2 linked regions of the Anolis sagrei genome follow. The protein of the gene in region 1 binds, or shares a complex with, the protein of each later gene. Links are inferred from orthologs where the notes say so. Each region holds a gene or a part of one and is shown on either strand. Other genes may lie near its edges.

The links. The genes of interacting proteins can lie anywhere in the genome.
Region 2: the proteins of PER2 (region 1) and CRY2 are in contact, whole or in part, in a crystal structure (PDB 4U8H), measured with the Mus musculus proteins. The link is inferred for Anolis sagrei from reciprocal best matches to the Homo sapiens genes PER2 and CRY2. Residues at the interface, in NP_035196.2 of Mus musculus: Tyr1132, Leu1134, Gln1135, Asp1136, Pro1137, Trp1139, Leu1140, Met1142, Ala1143, Asn1144, Thr1145, Ile1149, Met1150, Met1151, Thr1152, Tyr1153, Gln1154, Leu1155, Arg1158, Asp1159, Leu1160, Val1163, Leu1164, Asp1167, Gln1168, Lys1170, Leu1171, Leu1174, Gln1175, Ser1177; in NP_034093.1 of Mus musculus: Trp58, Ser63, Ser64, Val65, Lys163, Leu166, Thr167, Lys169, Arg170, Glu215, Leu216, Gly217, Phe218, Asn330, Pro331, Ile332, Cys333, Ile334, Gln335, Ile336, Pro337, Asp339, Asn341, Pro342, Glu343, Leu345, Ala346, Lys347, Ala349, Glu350.

The regions. Positions count from the first base shown.
Region 1 is NC_090023.1:229,098,190-229,105,472, reverse strand, and holds the start of PER2 (period circadian protein homolog 2), read left to right. Parts: upstream 1-4,155; 5' UTR 4,156-4,466; intron 4,467-7,283. UniProt on the Homo sapiens protein: Transcriptional repressor which forms a core component of the circadian clock.
Region 2 is NC_090021.1:277,807,550-277,815,226, forward strand, and holds the start of CRY2 (cryptochrome-2), read left to right. Parts: upstream 1-4,413; 5' UTR 4,414-4,741; coding exon 4,742-4,947; intron 4,948-7,677. UniProt on the Homo sapiens protein: Transcriptional repressor which forms a core component of the circadian clock.

The DNA of each region.
Region 1 (7,283 bases):
TAATTATTCAGTTTAGTCCATATATGCACATACTTCTTGCATGTATTGTTGTTCATTACTGCTACCAAGTTGATTTTGGCTTATGGTGAACCTATGAATGAGAGATCTCCAAGCCATCCTATCATCAAAAGACATGATCAGGCCTTGCAAACTCGGGGCCATGGCTTCCTTAATTGATGAGTCCAATTCATCTGGAATGTAGCCTCCGTCTTTTCCTACTGCCTTCCACTTTAGCATTATCCTCTTTTCCAATGAGTCATATCTTCTCATGGTATGACTACAGCACAACAGTGGTTGAGTCATTCCTGCAAGTATTCCGGCTTCATTTGTTTTTGTATTCGCCCCCCCCCCCCCGCCCCCGCTTTCCTTCTCTGTCCCCTGCTCTCTCTTTCTATCCAAAACATTCCCTCCATCACATTTCAGCTGAGCTTATTCTCACCCTACATGTTAAGCATCCCTTATCCAAATCCCAAAATCCAAAGTACTCCAAAAATATGAGTGGCTGAGATAGGGACACGTTTTGCTCTCTGATGGTTCAGTGTGCATAAACTTTGTTTCAGGCACACACACAAAAATTCTGTACAAAACTACTTCCATGCTATGTGTAGAAAACATATACAAAACATAAACGAAGAGTCACTTTATGTACTTATACTAATAAAGCAGACTCTCAGGCCTCTTCCACACAGTTGAATAAAACCTCCCATTTTCTGCTTTGAACTGGAATATATGGCAGTGTGAACTCAGATAACCCAGTTCAAAGCAGAAAATATGGGATTTTCTACCTCGATATTCTGGGTTATATGGGTGTGTGGAAGGGCCCTTAGTTATCCGGCATCCATGAAGATTGGTAGATGCTGGATAATTGTTTATTTTTATTTCTTTATTTTAGTTTCTGGTTGCTTAAGAGTTACTATTAAAAATAGACCTAATCAATTGCATACTATAGTAAAGGTATAGGTTTCCCCTGACATTAAGTCTAGTTCTGACTGACTCTGGGGGGTGGTGCTCATCTCCATTTCTAAGCCAAAAAGCTGCTGTTGCCCGTCGACCCCTCCAAAGTCATGTGGACAGCATGAGCACCATTACCTTCCCACCAAAACAGTACCTATTGATCTACCCAAATTTGCATATTTTCAAACTGCTAGGTTGGCAGAAGCTGGGGCTAACAGCGGAAGCTCACCCCGCTCCCTGGATTCAAACCGCTAACCTTTCAGTCAGCAAGTTCAGCAGCTCAGCGGTTTAACCCACTGCACCACCAGGGGGCCATACTATACTATATCAGTAAAAAGTAAATAATTATAGACTTGATTTAATGTAACATATCGGCTAAAATTGATTTAAATTTTAAAGTATTATTTCTTTGGTTATTTTGCCAGTGGCTTAAGAGTTCTGATTGCTTGAGGGCCCTTCTACACTGCCCCTCTATCCCAGGATCTAATCTTTCAGGGCCATAATAATAATAATAATAATAATAATAAACCTTTATTTATACCCCGCTACCATCTTCTGAAGGACTCGGTGCGGCTTACAAGAGGCTGAGCCCAAATACATCAGTAAAAACAGCAACAACAGCAATATAGACAATACATAAACTCATAAACAAAGCATTAAACAGTAACAATAACACCACGACGCATTAAAAACCTATGGCAGGGCCAAATGTAATAATTAAATTTTTTAAAAAATGCTGGGCATGACAAGGTGACATATAACTAGGATAGGTATTTGGAGAGAGATGGAGCGAGTAGACAATCCTGGATCATTAGTAAAGTGCGATTAGGGACATGTTGCTTAGGGTTTCCTTATTCTGGGAATGCACGCTGGAAGAACCATGTTTTCAGGCTCCTCTTAAAGATTGCCAGAGTTGGGGCGTGCCTAATGTCCTTGGGGAGCGAGTTCCAGAGTCGAGGGGCCATCACCGAGAAGGCCCTGTCTCTCGTCCCCACCAATCGCACTTGCGATGAAGGTGGGATCGTAAGTAGGGCCTCTCCAGATGAATGAAGAGATCGTGTGGGTTCGTACACAGAGATGTGGTCACGCCATCTGTCAAGGGTGCTTTGAATGCAATATTCCTGCTTCTTTGCAGGGGGTTGGACTGGATGGCCCATGAGGTCTCTTCCAACTCTGTGATTCTAATCCCAGATTATATTTATCCCAGGTTATCAGGTAGTGGGGACTCCTATATTCCAGTTTAAAGCAGATAATCTGGGATCAGATCCTGGGATAAAGGGCAGTGTGGAAGAGCTCGAAGAGTCTACTGTATCCATTACATTTGCCCGGCCTAGTTTTTGTTGTATCACAGTGTGTTGTTTTATTGTTTACTGTTATTGCTTTAAAAGTTTTTGATTTGCTTTGGTTTATATGTAATTGTTATATTGTTGTTTTATTGTGGCCTTGGCCTTTGTAAGCCGCATCGAGTCCTTCAGGAGATGCTAGCGGGGTACAAATAAAGTTAATAAATAAATAATAATATACCAATACTAGTATTCGATTTTGAGGCAGAATATAATACAGTTACAATAAATAGATTGTATACATCAAACCCTTAGAACACATATACTATTTTTATTTTTATTTCTCGTGTCAGGGCAGCCAGTCAATTATATTACATTTCTAACAGAACAAAGCAAACAAACAGAGAAAATACAAAATGTGTGAGTTTGGTAGTTGATTAAATGTCCTTTGACCAGTATCTGGCCACTTGGAGTGCTTCTGGTGTTGCTGCAAGAAGGTCCTCCATTGTGCATGTGGCTGGGCTCAGGGTGCATTGCAGCAGGTGGTCAGTGGTTTGCTCCTCTCCGCATTCGCATGTCGAGGATTCCACTTTGTAGCCCTATTTCTGAAGGTTGGCTCTGCATTTTGTGGTGCCAGAGCACAGTCTGTTCAGCGCCTTCCAAGTCGCCCAGTCCTCTGTGTGCCCAGGGGGGAGTCTCTCATTTGGTATCAGCCATTGGTTGAGGTTCTGGGTTTGAGCCTGCCACTTTTGGACTCTCGCTTGCTGAGGTTTTCCAGCGAGTGTCTGTGTAGATCTTAGAAAACCAAACAGGGGATGAGCTGGAGATGTCTCTGCCTTGGTCCTTTCACTATTGGCTGCTACTTCCCGGCGGATGTCAGGTGGTGCAATACCGGCTAAGCAGTGTAATTTCTCCAGTGGTGTAGGGCGCAGACACCCCGTGTTAATGTGGCATGTCTCATTAAGAGCCACATCCACTGTTTTAGTGTGGTGAGATGTGTTCCACACTGGGCATGCATACTCAGCAGCGGAGTAGCACAGCGCAAGGGCAGATGTCTTCACTGTATCTGGTTGTGATCCCCAGGTTGTGCCAGTCAGCTTTCATATGATATTGTTTCTAGCACCCACCTTTTGCTTGATGTTCAGGCAGTGCTTTTGTAGGTAAGAGCACGGGCCAAAGTGACTCCCAGGTATTTGGGTGTGCTGCAATGCTCCAGTGGGATTCCTTCCCAGGTAATCCTCAGAGCTCGGGATGCTTGTCTGTTCTTAAGGTGAAAGGAGCATGTCTGTGTTTTAGATGGATTAGGGATCAGTTGGTTTTCCCTGCAATAGGCAGTAAGAGCACCTAGAGCTTCGGAAAGCTTCTGTTCTACCATCTCAAAGCTTGAGCAGTAATGGCACGATCATCAGCATAGATGAAATACATATACTAAAAGGCATAGATATAAGATTGAAACCCATTCAAATACAGTGCAGATGAGGCATGAGCCAACTTGGGCCCTCAAGGTGTTTTTGGACTTCAACTCTCACCATTCCTAACAGGAATTGTGGGAGTTAAAGTCCAAAACACCTGCAGAGAGGACCAAAGTTGACCCAGGCATTTCAGCATACGAGCTTTCCCATTGGCTCCCGCCCCCAAAGTATGAGAGAGAGCTCCCTCCCTCCTTTCCGGAGCGGATGACGCATGCAGCTCGGGCGTCTCCTATTGGACGAACGCTCTGTTTGGGAAGCGGTGGGAGGAGGGGACGAGGGGGGAACAGCGGCAGCGGCAGCGCCCCCTCATCCCGCCCTCTCTGCCTCTCTCCCAGAAACATGGAGTGACACGTGAAGCTTATGCAATGTGAGTGACGTCCGCCGCGGCCAATAGGAGCCTCGGGACCGGCGCCGCCCGTCCCGCCCCTTCTTCCGAGGCGGCCAATCGGCGCCCGTTCTAGCGCTTCCCTCAGGCACGATCACGTTGCGGAGGGTATGAGGCCGGGGCCGGCGGCGCTGAAGGAGCTCGGCTTGGGAAGGAAAGGCAAGGAGGGGGCTCCCTCCGAGGGGCGGGGGTCGGCCTCGGCGCGAGAGGGGCGCTTCCGGCCAAGACCACCCGCCGCGCCGTCCCTTCGCGCCGAGGCTGAGGCGGAGGGAAACCGAGGCGGTGGTTGTGTAACGCGAGGCTCCCGTCAGTCAGTCGGTCCTCCTCGACGTCGCCTCTGCTGCGGGCGAGGGGCTCCCTCGGGGTTAGTAGGTAAGTAGGCCTCCGAAGGGGAAGGGGAAAGGGGAAGGGAGGGTGGGCTGGGAATCAGGGGAAGCGCCTCGCTGATAGAGCGCGATGAAGCCTGGCAGGGTCCTGTGTGTGGAAAGCGTCCTGGGAGTCTCAGGCTGGAGGCTCGTTTAAAGGGCACTTCAGAATTTGGAACTTTTTCTCAATCCATTGTGTTGTTTTTGTTGTTATTCAGATGGCCAATATAAAAGGGGTGTGTATAAAGAGTGTGTGTGCTGTGTAAAATACATGCAAATAGGATATACTGTATGTATCCTATATACATTCTCAATCCATTGTGTTGTTGTTATTCAGATGACCAATATAAAAGGGGTGTGTATAAAGAGTGTGTGTGCTGTGCAAAATATAAGCAAATGGGATATACTGTGTATATATATATATATATATATATATCTCCTATATACATGTATAATATGTATATATGATACCTATATATATATATATATATATGCATACTATGCCAGTATATAGAATATGCGTGTGCGTGTGTATATTTGTGTTTATGTATAAAATACATGTACATAAGATATATATATATATATATATATATCCTATATACATGTGTGTATATATATGTATATCCACACACACACACACACACACATATATGTATATATGATACCTATATATGTATATTATGCATATTATGCAGTATATAGAATATGCGTGTGGGTGTGTATATTTGTGTTTATGTATAAAATACATGTAAATAAGATATATATATATATCCTATATACATGTGTGTATATATATGTATATCCACAATATGCGTATATATAATACCTATATGTATATTTGACATATTATGCCAGTATATAGGATATGCATGTGGGTGTGTATATTTGTGTTTATGTATAAAATACATGTAAATAAGATATATATATTTATATAGATTCTATATACATGTGTGTATATAATACCTATATATGTATATTTGACATATTATGCCAGTATATAGGATATGCATGTGCGTGTGTATATTTGTGTTTATGTATAAAATACATGTAAATAAGATATATATATATATATCTGTATACATGCTTGTATATATAATACCTATATATGTATATTTGACATATTATGCCAGTATATAGGATATGCATGTGTGTGTGTGTATATATATATTTGTGTTTATGTATAAAACACATGTAAACATTTTAATATATATATATCCTATTTACGTGTGTGTGTGTATATATATATATATATATATATCCACAATATGTGTATATATAATACCTATATATGTATATTTGACATGTTATGCCAGTATATAGGATATGTGTGTGTGTATATTTGTGTTTATGTAAATTATATATATATATATATATATTCTATATACATGTGTGTATGTATATGTATATCTGAAATATGTGTATATATAATGCCTATATATGTATATTTGACATATTATGCCAGTATATAGGATATGTGTGTATAATGTATAAAATATATGCAAATAGGATATATATCTCCTATATACATATATATATATATGTTTATATGAAATAACGGCATGTGTCTATTATACATATTATGCCAGTATATAGGAAGTCTGTGTGTATAATTTATAATACATGCAAATAGGATATATATCTCGGTTCTTGTGGGTTTTTTCGGGCTATATGGCCATGTTCCATGCATCTATGGCAAGCATCTTCAGAGGTGAGGTCTGCTGGAGCTGGGAAAAAAGGGGTTTATATATCTGTGGAATGACCAGGGTAAGACAAAGGGCTTTTGTAAGTTGGGCTAGGTGTGACTCTTTCAACTGACCACCTTGATTAGCATACAATGGGCTGACTGTGCCTGGAGCAAACTCTTCTTGAAGGGTGATTAGATGTCCCTGCCTGTTTTTCTCTCTGCTGTTTTTGCTGTTGCAATTTTAGAATTTTAGAATATATATATTAGGATATATATCGCCTATATACATATATGTTATATATGTATGCATAGCTGCAATTATATGAAATACCTGTATGTGTCTATTATACATATTATGCCAGTATATAGGAAATGTGTGTGTATAATGTATAAAATACATGCAAATAGGATATTTATATATATAACCTGTATACATGTATATTATATATGTATGTATGTATATCTGCAATATGTATATATGAAATACTTGTGTGTATATATTATAATGTTATGCCAGTATATAGGATATGTGTGTATATGTATATATAATGTATATATAATGTATAAAATACATGTAAATAGGAGATATACAGTATGTATATCCCATATACCTAATATGTGTATATATAATAACTATATATGTATATTATAGATATTGTGCCAGTATATAGAAGGTGTATATGTATATATTTTTAATACTTTAATTTTCTGCTTCTCCTCGCGGCTCAAGGCAGGTTACAGAATAATTAAACACATTGTAGAAATACTACATATTCACATATTAAAATGTATTTCTATAAAAGCTACATATTAAAACATTTTTTAATTAAATACATATTAAAATACACAAAACAGATTAAACACAAGACATGCATTTAAAATTTACGCTTAAAGACTGGTTATATTATACATATAAAATCTATATCTTAAATACGTATTTCCCCTTTCTCTCTCTCTAAATTATGCCACTAATTATATCAGTGGTATAAGTTATCCAAAATGCTATGGGTTAGAACTGCTTTAGATTTAGGGTGCATCAACACTACTGAATCGGTACAGTTTTACACCACTTTTACTGCCTTGGCTCAATGCCTTGAGATCCTAGGAATTGCAGTTTCACAAGGTCTTCAGACTTCTCTG
Region 2 (7,677 bases), on another chromosome or scaffold:
CTTCTCCTTCCATGTGCACCTTCCTTTGTCGGCATAACAGAGGTATTACAGGATGTTATATGATGGCCATAACTAGCATTTAAAATGAGATTACATAAATGTATGATGGACAGACCTGCTGTTGGCTACATGCCAGTGCAAGATCTAAAAGCATCAGCAATATACCTGCGACGACGAGACACCCAGACTCAAAAGGAGATTATGTTCAGCTTTGCCCAGGCCTTTCCCAGAGTCGTATATGCAACTAGATAATATCTGCGTCTGAGCCCAAGGAATTCGTGGAGCTTAAGCACCCCTAAGCACATGATTGAGTGGTTGGTTCGCCTGTTATGGTGCAGTTCTTTTTCTCACCAGAACAGCATGTTTGGTGCCTCTTATAAAACTGGGTGATTTCATTGCTGTATGTACAGACATAGCGATTCCACTCCAATTAGCACTGCTTTTCACAGGGAGGTTACAGGAAGAAACTGACACAAATTGTGCGCACCACAAATGTTTGTTGTGAACTCAAGTTTTCTGAGAGATTTTGGCAGTTTTGAATTCTCTGAGGATTCAAGCCTAAGAATAAATTGCTGCAAATCCTTGATTTAGTTTAGAGAAGGCCATAATTAAGCAAAAAATAAAATAAGTGTTCTAGTATGCATAGCTATAACTTTGGGCATAAAGCTGTTGTTTCACAAAGTTAGTGTTTGTGTACATTTAGTTCTTTGCTTGATTCCCTTGTCAAATACATATCTCTTTACTTTTGGTGTGCACTTTATTCTAGTAATTGCCATTGGTTGCTCTTCCTGAATAATAACATTTTGCTTAAGCCTTTAGGTCACACATGGGCAAACATCGGCCCTCCAGATGTTTTGGATGACAACCCCCACAATTCCTAACAGCCTATCAGCTATTAGGAATTGTGGGAGTTGAAGTCCAAAATATCCGGAGGGACAAAGTTTGCCCATGCCTGCTTTAGGTCATGAGGGGCTCCTCAGCTCTTTGGAATTTAGGATAACTTGGAAGTTACTGGGATGTGAGGAGTTCTCTCGTGCAGGGCTGTTGTTATCTGCACTACAGAATTAATTTCTTTTTGTGCCAGAAGCGACTTGAGAAACTGCAAGTCGCTTCTGTTGTGAGAGAATTGGCTATCTGCAAGGACGTTGCCCAAGGAAGGCCCAGATGGTTGGTGCTTTACCATTCTGTGGGAGGCTTCTCTCGTATTCCCACATGAGAAGCTAGAGCTTGATAGATGGGAATTTGTCCCGCTCCCCGGATTCAAACCGCCAATGTATCAGTTGACCAGTCCTGCCGGCACAAGGGCTTAACGCATTGTGCCACCAGGAGCTCCTGCATAATCAATAATTAACTGCCATGGCTCCATGCTATGAGATCATAGGAACTGTAGTTTTCCAAGGTCTTTAGCTTTCTCTGCCAAACAATGCCGGTGCCTCACCAAACTCCAAAATCCCATGTTTTCCTAGCATTGAGCCATGGCAGTTAAATGTAGTATCAAATTCCATTAATTCTACAGAGCAGATGCACCCTAGGAGGTATTTTGCTGGATCTACAATGCCAAATAATGCGTATTGAACTGCATTATATAGCTAGTGTAGATGTATATAATGCAGTTCAAGCTAATTATGTACAACAGCAATATTTATTACGGTCCATAGACCCATCAGTGAGCAAACAAAGACTATGCCCCTATGAAAGAAATGAAGTAAAAACAATAGAATACATTTTATTGCTGTGCTGCAGCATTATGTGGGTCTATTCACACTGACTACATAACACAGTTCAAGCTGCATTATTTGGCATTGCACACCCAGTCTGGGTTTGTTAACACACAAGTGCAGAACTGCCATAATTGAAAATAATGGCTTGAAGTGCCATGGTTCAATGCCCTGAGTTGTAGATTTGGTGAGGCACCAGCATCAGAGTGGGAAAGCCCTAGCATTTGACAGAGAAAGAACAAAGAACTTGCCAAACTACAGCTCCATCGATTGAGCCGTGAAGTTCAAGCACCCATTCTACAGTGTAAGTCAGGCATGGGCAAACTTGGGCCCTCCCTCAAGGTTTTTTGGACTTCATCTCCCACAATTCCTAACAGCCAGTCATTAGGAATGGTGAGAGCTGAAGTCCAAAATATCTGGAGGGAGGGCCCAAGTTTGCCGATGCTTGAAGTAGGTGCTCCTGCAGCGATCCCGAGATGCACATTCTGGATGCGCATGGGGCACACACTGCGTCAGCCTTCGGATGTAAATATTAATGAATATTGGGCCCTCTGGTGGAGCAGTGGGTTAAACCACTGAGCTCCTGAACTTGCTGTCTGAAAGGTTGGTGGTTCGAATCCAGGGAGCAGGATGAGCTCCCACTGTTAGCCCCAGCTTCTGCCAACCTAGCAGTTCGAAAGCATGCAAATGTGAGTAGATCAATAGGTATCACCTTGGCAGGAAGGTGATACCTATTGATCATTGCAGTCATGCTGGCCACATGACCTTGGAGGTGTCTACAGACAATGCCAGCTCTTTGGCTTAGAAATTAAGATGAGCACCACCCCGCAGAATCAGTCCCGACTAGACTTAATGTCGGGGAAAACTTTTACCTTTATATATATACTAGCTTGGGATTATCTGCCCGGGTTATTTGAGAAAGGCATTGCTTGTCTGTGCTTCAAGTTTAATCTAGATACAATGTCAGCTGAGTTCAGTGGGTGCAGGTGAACTACAACTCATGGGGGCTCTGTGTGCCAAGTTTGGTTAAGGCCTTAATTTGTGGAGGTCATAGTGGGCTCAGGAATGATGAGGGTCGCAGTGTTCTGTGGAAGCCAAAGCAATTGAAATTGCTGCAAATCCTGTCATCCGTGGTCCATCCCCCCCTCAACAGCACCAGGACTTAAAGTGGGTCACGGGGGCTCTGTGTGCCAAGTTTGGTCGTTATCCATCAATGATGGGGATCGCAGTGTTCTGTGGGAGCCAAAGCGATTTAAATTACTGCAAATCCCATAATCCATGGTCCATTCTCCCCTAAACCGCACCAGGACTTAAAGTGGGTCATGCGGGTTCTGTGTGCCAAGTTTGGTCCAGGTCCATTATTCATGGGGGTTGCAGTGGCCAGTGGAAGTGGGAGCCAATCAGAAAGCAGTCACATAAACACATACAAACATTCATTTTTATTATAGACACTAGCTTGGGGATCCGACGGTGTCCGGGTTATTTGAGAAAGTCAGTGCGTGCCAAGGTTGGGCTTTATGAGTTATTTATGTGGCTCACAGTAGTCTCAGGAAGTGAGTGAAGGTACTGCGAGTCCCATTGTCCATGGTTCATCCTCCTCCAAACAGAACCAGGATGTAGAGTGGCTCATGGGGGCTCTGTGTACCAAGTTTGATCAGTCATTGGATGAGGGTTGCAGTGGTCTTGGAAAGTGAGTGAAGGTACTGCAAGTCCCATCCTCCATAGTCCATCCTCCCACAAACTGCACCAGAATGTTGAGTTGGCCATGGGGGCTCTCTGTGCCAAGTTTGGTCTTTATTGGTAATTTGATGAGTGTTGCTGTGGTCACAGGAAGTGAGTGAAGGTACGGCAAGTCCCAGCATCTGTGACCCATCCTCCTCCAAACTGCACCATGGTGTAGAGTGGATCATGGGGGCTCTGTGTGTCAAGTTTTGTCTTGATCGGTCATTACATGAAGGTTGTAGCGGTCTTGGGAAATGAGTAAATGAGTACTTCAAGTCCTATCACCCTCCTTGAGACTGCACCAGGATGTAAAGTGAGTCATGGGGGCTCTGTGTGCCAAATTAGGTTTTGATCAGTCATTGGATGAATGTGGCAGTAGTCTCAGGAAATGGGTGAAGGTACTGCACGTCCCATCATCCATTATCTGCACAAGGACGAAAAGTGGGGTCATGGGGGCTCTGTGTGCCAAGTTTGGACTTTCTCGGCCATTCAATGAGGGTTGCAGTGGACTCAGGAAGTGGGTGAAGGTACTGCAAGTCCCATCATCCATTATCTGCACCAGGATGAAGAGTGGGGTCATGGGGGCTCTGTGTGCCAAGTTTGGTCTTTCTCGGTCATTCGATGAGGGTTGCAGTGGACTCAGGAAGTGAGTGAAGGTATTGCAAGTCCCATCATCCGCGGTCCATCCTCCAAACTGCACCAGGATGTAGAGTGGGTCATGTGGGCTCTGTGTGCCAGGTTTGGACTTGATCAGTCTTTGTTGGGGGCCACAGTGGTCTGTGGGAACCGAAGGGTTTGAAAGTACTACAAATCCCATCATCCTTTGCAAGTTATATATCTATTGCGTAAGGCGCCAAGGATGGGGAGGCTCCCTTCCAATTGTTGAATAAGATCTCTGTCTCTCTCCCTGCCGCTCCTCCCTCTTTGCAAGTGTTTTGGAAGCTTTGGAAACCCCACCCACCCGTTGCTTTGCTCCAAGGCACACGTGCCGCGAGGGAGGGGGGAGCTCAGTGCGGTCACAGGCCACGCCCCCTTCTCCTCATTTCCCCCCTCCCTCTCCCCGAATCGCTGCTTACACGTCGCAGGAACGTGCCGAGGCTCCGGGGGCCCCTGGGCGCTGTCGGTGTTACGTAGCCCAGGCAGCCAATGGGCGTCGAGAGCGCGCGAGAGGAAGGGGCGTGGCTTTCCCCTTCTCCGACGGCCGGCAGCAACGCAACGCAGCGCAGCGCGAGGCTCGGTCGAGGCAAGAGGTGGGTTGCTGGCGCGCGACGAAGAAAGCGAGAGAAGCGCCTCGCGAAACTATGGCCACGCTCGCTGGGCCCTCGGGCCTCCCTCCTCCTCCTCCCCCGGGAAACGGCTGCTCGGTCCATTGGTTCCGCCGCGGGCTTCGGCTCCACGACAACCCGGCTCTGCAGGCAGCCATCCGCGACGGCGGCCCCGTGCGGTGCATCTATATCCTGGACCCCTGGTTTGCCGCCTCCTCCTCGGTGGGCATCAATCGCTGGCGGTGAGTGGATTAATTCGAGCCTGTGCAGCAGGCAAGGGCAAACTTTGGCCTTCCAGGTGCTTTGGACTCCAACTCCCACCATTCCTAACAGCCTCAGGCCCTTTCCTTTCCCCCCTCAGGCGCTTAAGCGGCTGAGGGGGGAAAGGAAGGGGCCTGAGGCTGTTAGGAATGGTGGGAGTTGGAGACCAAAACACCTGGAAGGCCAAAGTTTGCCCTTACCAGTTGGGCCTCCCCATACTACAAACCCCATCATTCCATAGCATGGCGCCAGGGCAGTTCAAGTGCTATCAAACTGTGCTAGTTCTACAGTGTAGGCACACCGCCTGTCTGTGGAAAGGGTAGAAGAAAATCCAGACAAGGCATTAAAAAAAAGGGCGTAGTGACTAATCCCCATAATAAACCGCCCTTGTTGACTGGCTCAGTCCTGGCTTCCTTATGGCAGTCTCTTTCGCTACTAGACTTGTAGATTTTGGTTTCCTAACATACCAGTTTAGGAATGACAGCCCAGAGGGTTAACATCAAGGACGTGTGAATGTGCCCTTTACCAAAGAAGTTTTACAATTCACACCTCCTGACAAAGGATTGTCCCCCCCAGTCAGGAAGCAGCCAGGCTTTGGAGCTGCAAGGCCATTCAGTGCTAAAACATGTAATATAATATATTGTATAGACATATAATATTTATAATATTATAATGTAGTGCAATGTAACACTAATGATAATAATATGATATTATAATTATATATTTATATTACATGTAATATTACTAATCATCTATATAAATAAAAATGTAATGTTAGTTTGTGGGATTAACATAACTCAAAAAACACTGGACGAATTGACACCAAATTTGGAAACAATATACCTATCAGGCCAACGAGTGACCATCACTCAAAAAAAAATACTGAAAAACACAGCAGGAGACTTAAAAAGCCAAAACATAAAAATACATTACAATGCATGCGCAAAACCACATATATACACAAATATACACACAGAAAACACATATACACAGACTGGGCCACAGCAACGCGTGGCAGGGGACAGCTAGTATTACAATATAATGGTGTAGTACAATATAGTAATATTTATTTATTTATTTACTATGTTTATATACCACCCCTCTCAGCCTTCTGGCAACTCGAGGCAGTTTACAAGGTAAAATTCAATGCCACAAATATATAATATATTGTACTATGCTAATAATATAATATATTGTATGTATGTATATATATATCTTGTAAGCCGCTCTGAGTCCCCTTTGGATGAGAAGGGCGGCATATAAATAAATAATCAAGGTGTCCAGTAGCAACATTGACACCTTCCTCCAACAGACAAGAGTTCTTTCTCCCATCCTGGACATTGTTCCACAGATATATAAACCCCACTTGCCTAGTTTCCAGCAAACCTCACAACCTCTGAGGATCCCTGCCATAGGTGTAGGTGAAATGTCAGGAGAGAATGCTTCTGGAACATGTGAATGCAGCGTTTACTAAATTGATGTTGTGTGCCTTTGAGTCAATTACGATTTTTGGGCAAAATTCGTTCAGAGGGCGTTTTGCTGGAAGGCTGTACCTTGCCCAAGAGTTTCCATGGCCAAGTGCATCTTTCAACCCGGATCTACAGAGCCATAACACTTTGTATCACAGTTGTTTCCCCCTGGATTATAAACATCATTTCCTAATTGGTTCCATCACAAAACCATGGGAAAAGTTTAGTAAACTTTAAACACATTGTTTTTGCAGGACATCCTGTAGCACGTTTTGCTATTGTTTTTCAATAAAGATCTGATAGAGTCTCAACCAATTCAGCACAGGGTTGCTGTGAGTTTTCCGGGCTGTACGGCCGTCTTCCATAAGCATTCTCTCCTGACATTTCACCCACATCTATGGCAGGTATCCTCAGAGGTTGTGAGGTCTGTTGGAAACTAGGCAAGCGTACCCCTCAACCTCTGAGGATGCCTGCCATAGATGTGGGAGAAATGTCAGGAGAGAATGCTTCCGGAACATGGCCATACAGCCCGGAAAACTCACAGCAACTCAGTTATTCCGGCCATGAAAGGCTACGACAACACAATTCTGCATAGTTTGTGACAGCCACAAAGTGTGGCATAATTAAACAGGAGTATGTGAGCAAAATGGAGCAGAAGCCACAGGCAAACTATATGAAACATGTGAAGAGATCCGCACCTGCTTCATGTATCATTTCTGGCAAGTTAGTGACACATGATGTCACTAATGTCCCTGTCAAATAGAAGGTAGTGGTGTTATGTTCACTTCAGAGGTTTGCATTCCATTCTGGCCTAAAGAATTTGGATTTCAGAGAGTAAACTTTACAGGATGCAAAGCATCTGTTTTTGTGCCAGACGGCATTTTTGTTACTTTCCAGTTCTGCGTAGTGCATACCAGGATTTGCAGATTGCACATGGCAGTATAATGTATTCTGCTCCATGGAAAGGCAAAGGATCTGCAGTTATGGAAAGCTATATGGGGGGAGCTACACCTGCCCTTCTTAAACTCTATTTCAGTGGTCCTCAACCTGTGAGTCCCCAGGTGTTTTGGCCTACAACTCCCAACAATCCCAGCCAGTTTACCAGCTGTTGGGATTTCTGGAAGTAGTTGAAGGCCAAAACATCTGGGGACCCAGGGGTTGAGAATCACTACAGTCTATTCCCTTTTCCACTGTTAACTTGCTCCTGCTTGTTTGCTTGCCTTTGTGTCTTTTGAAACATGT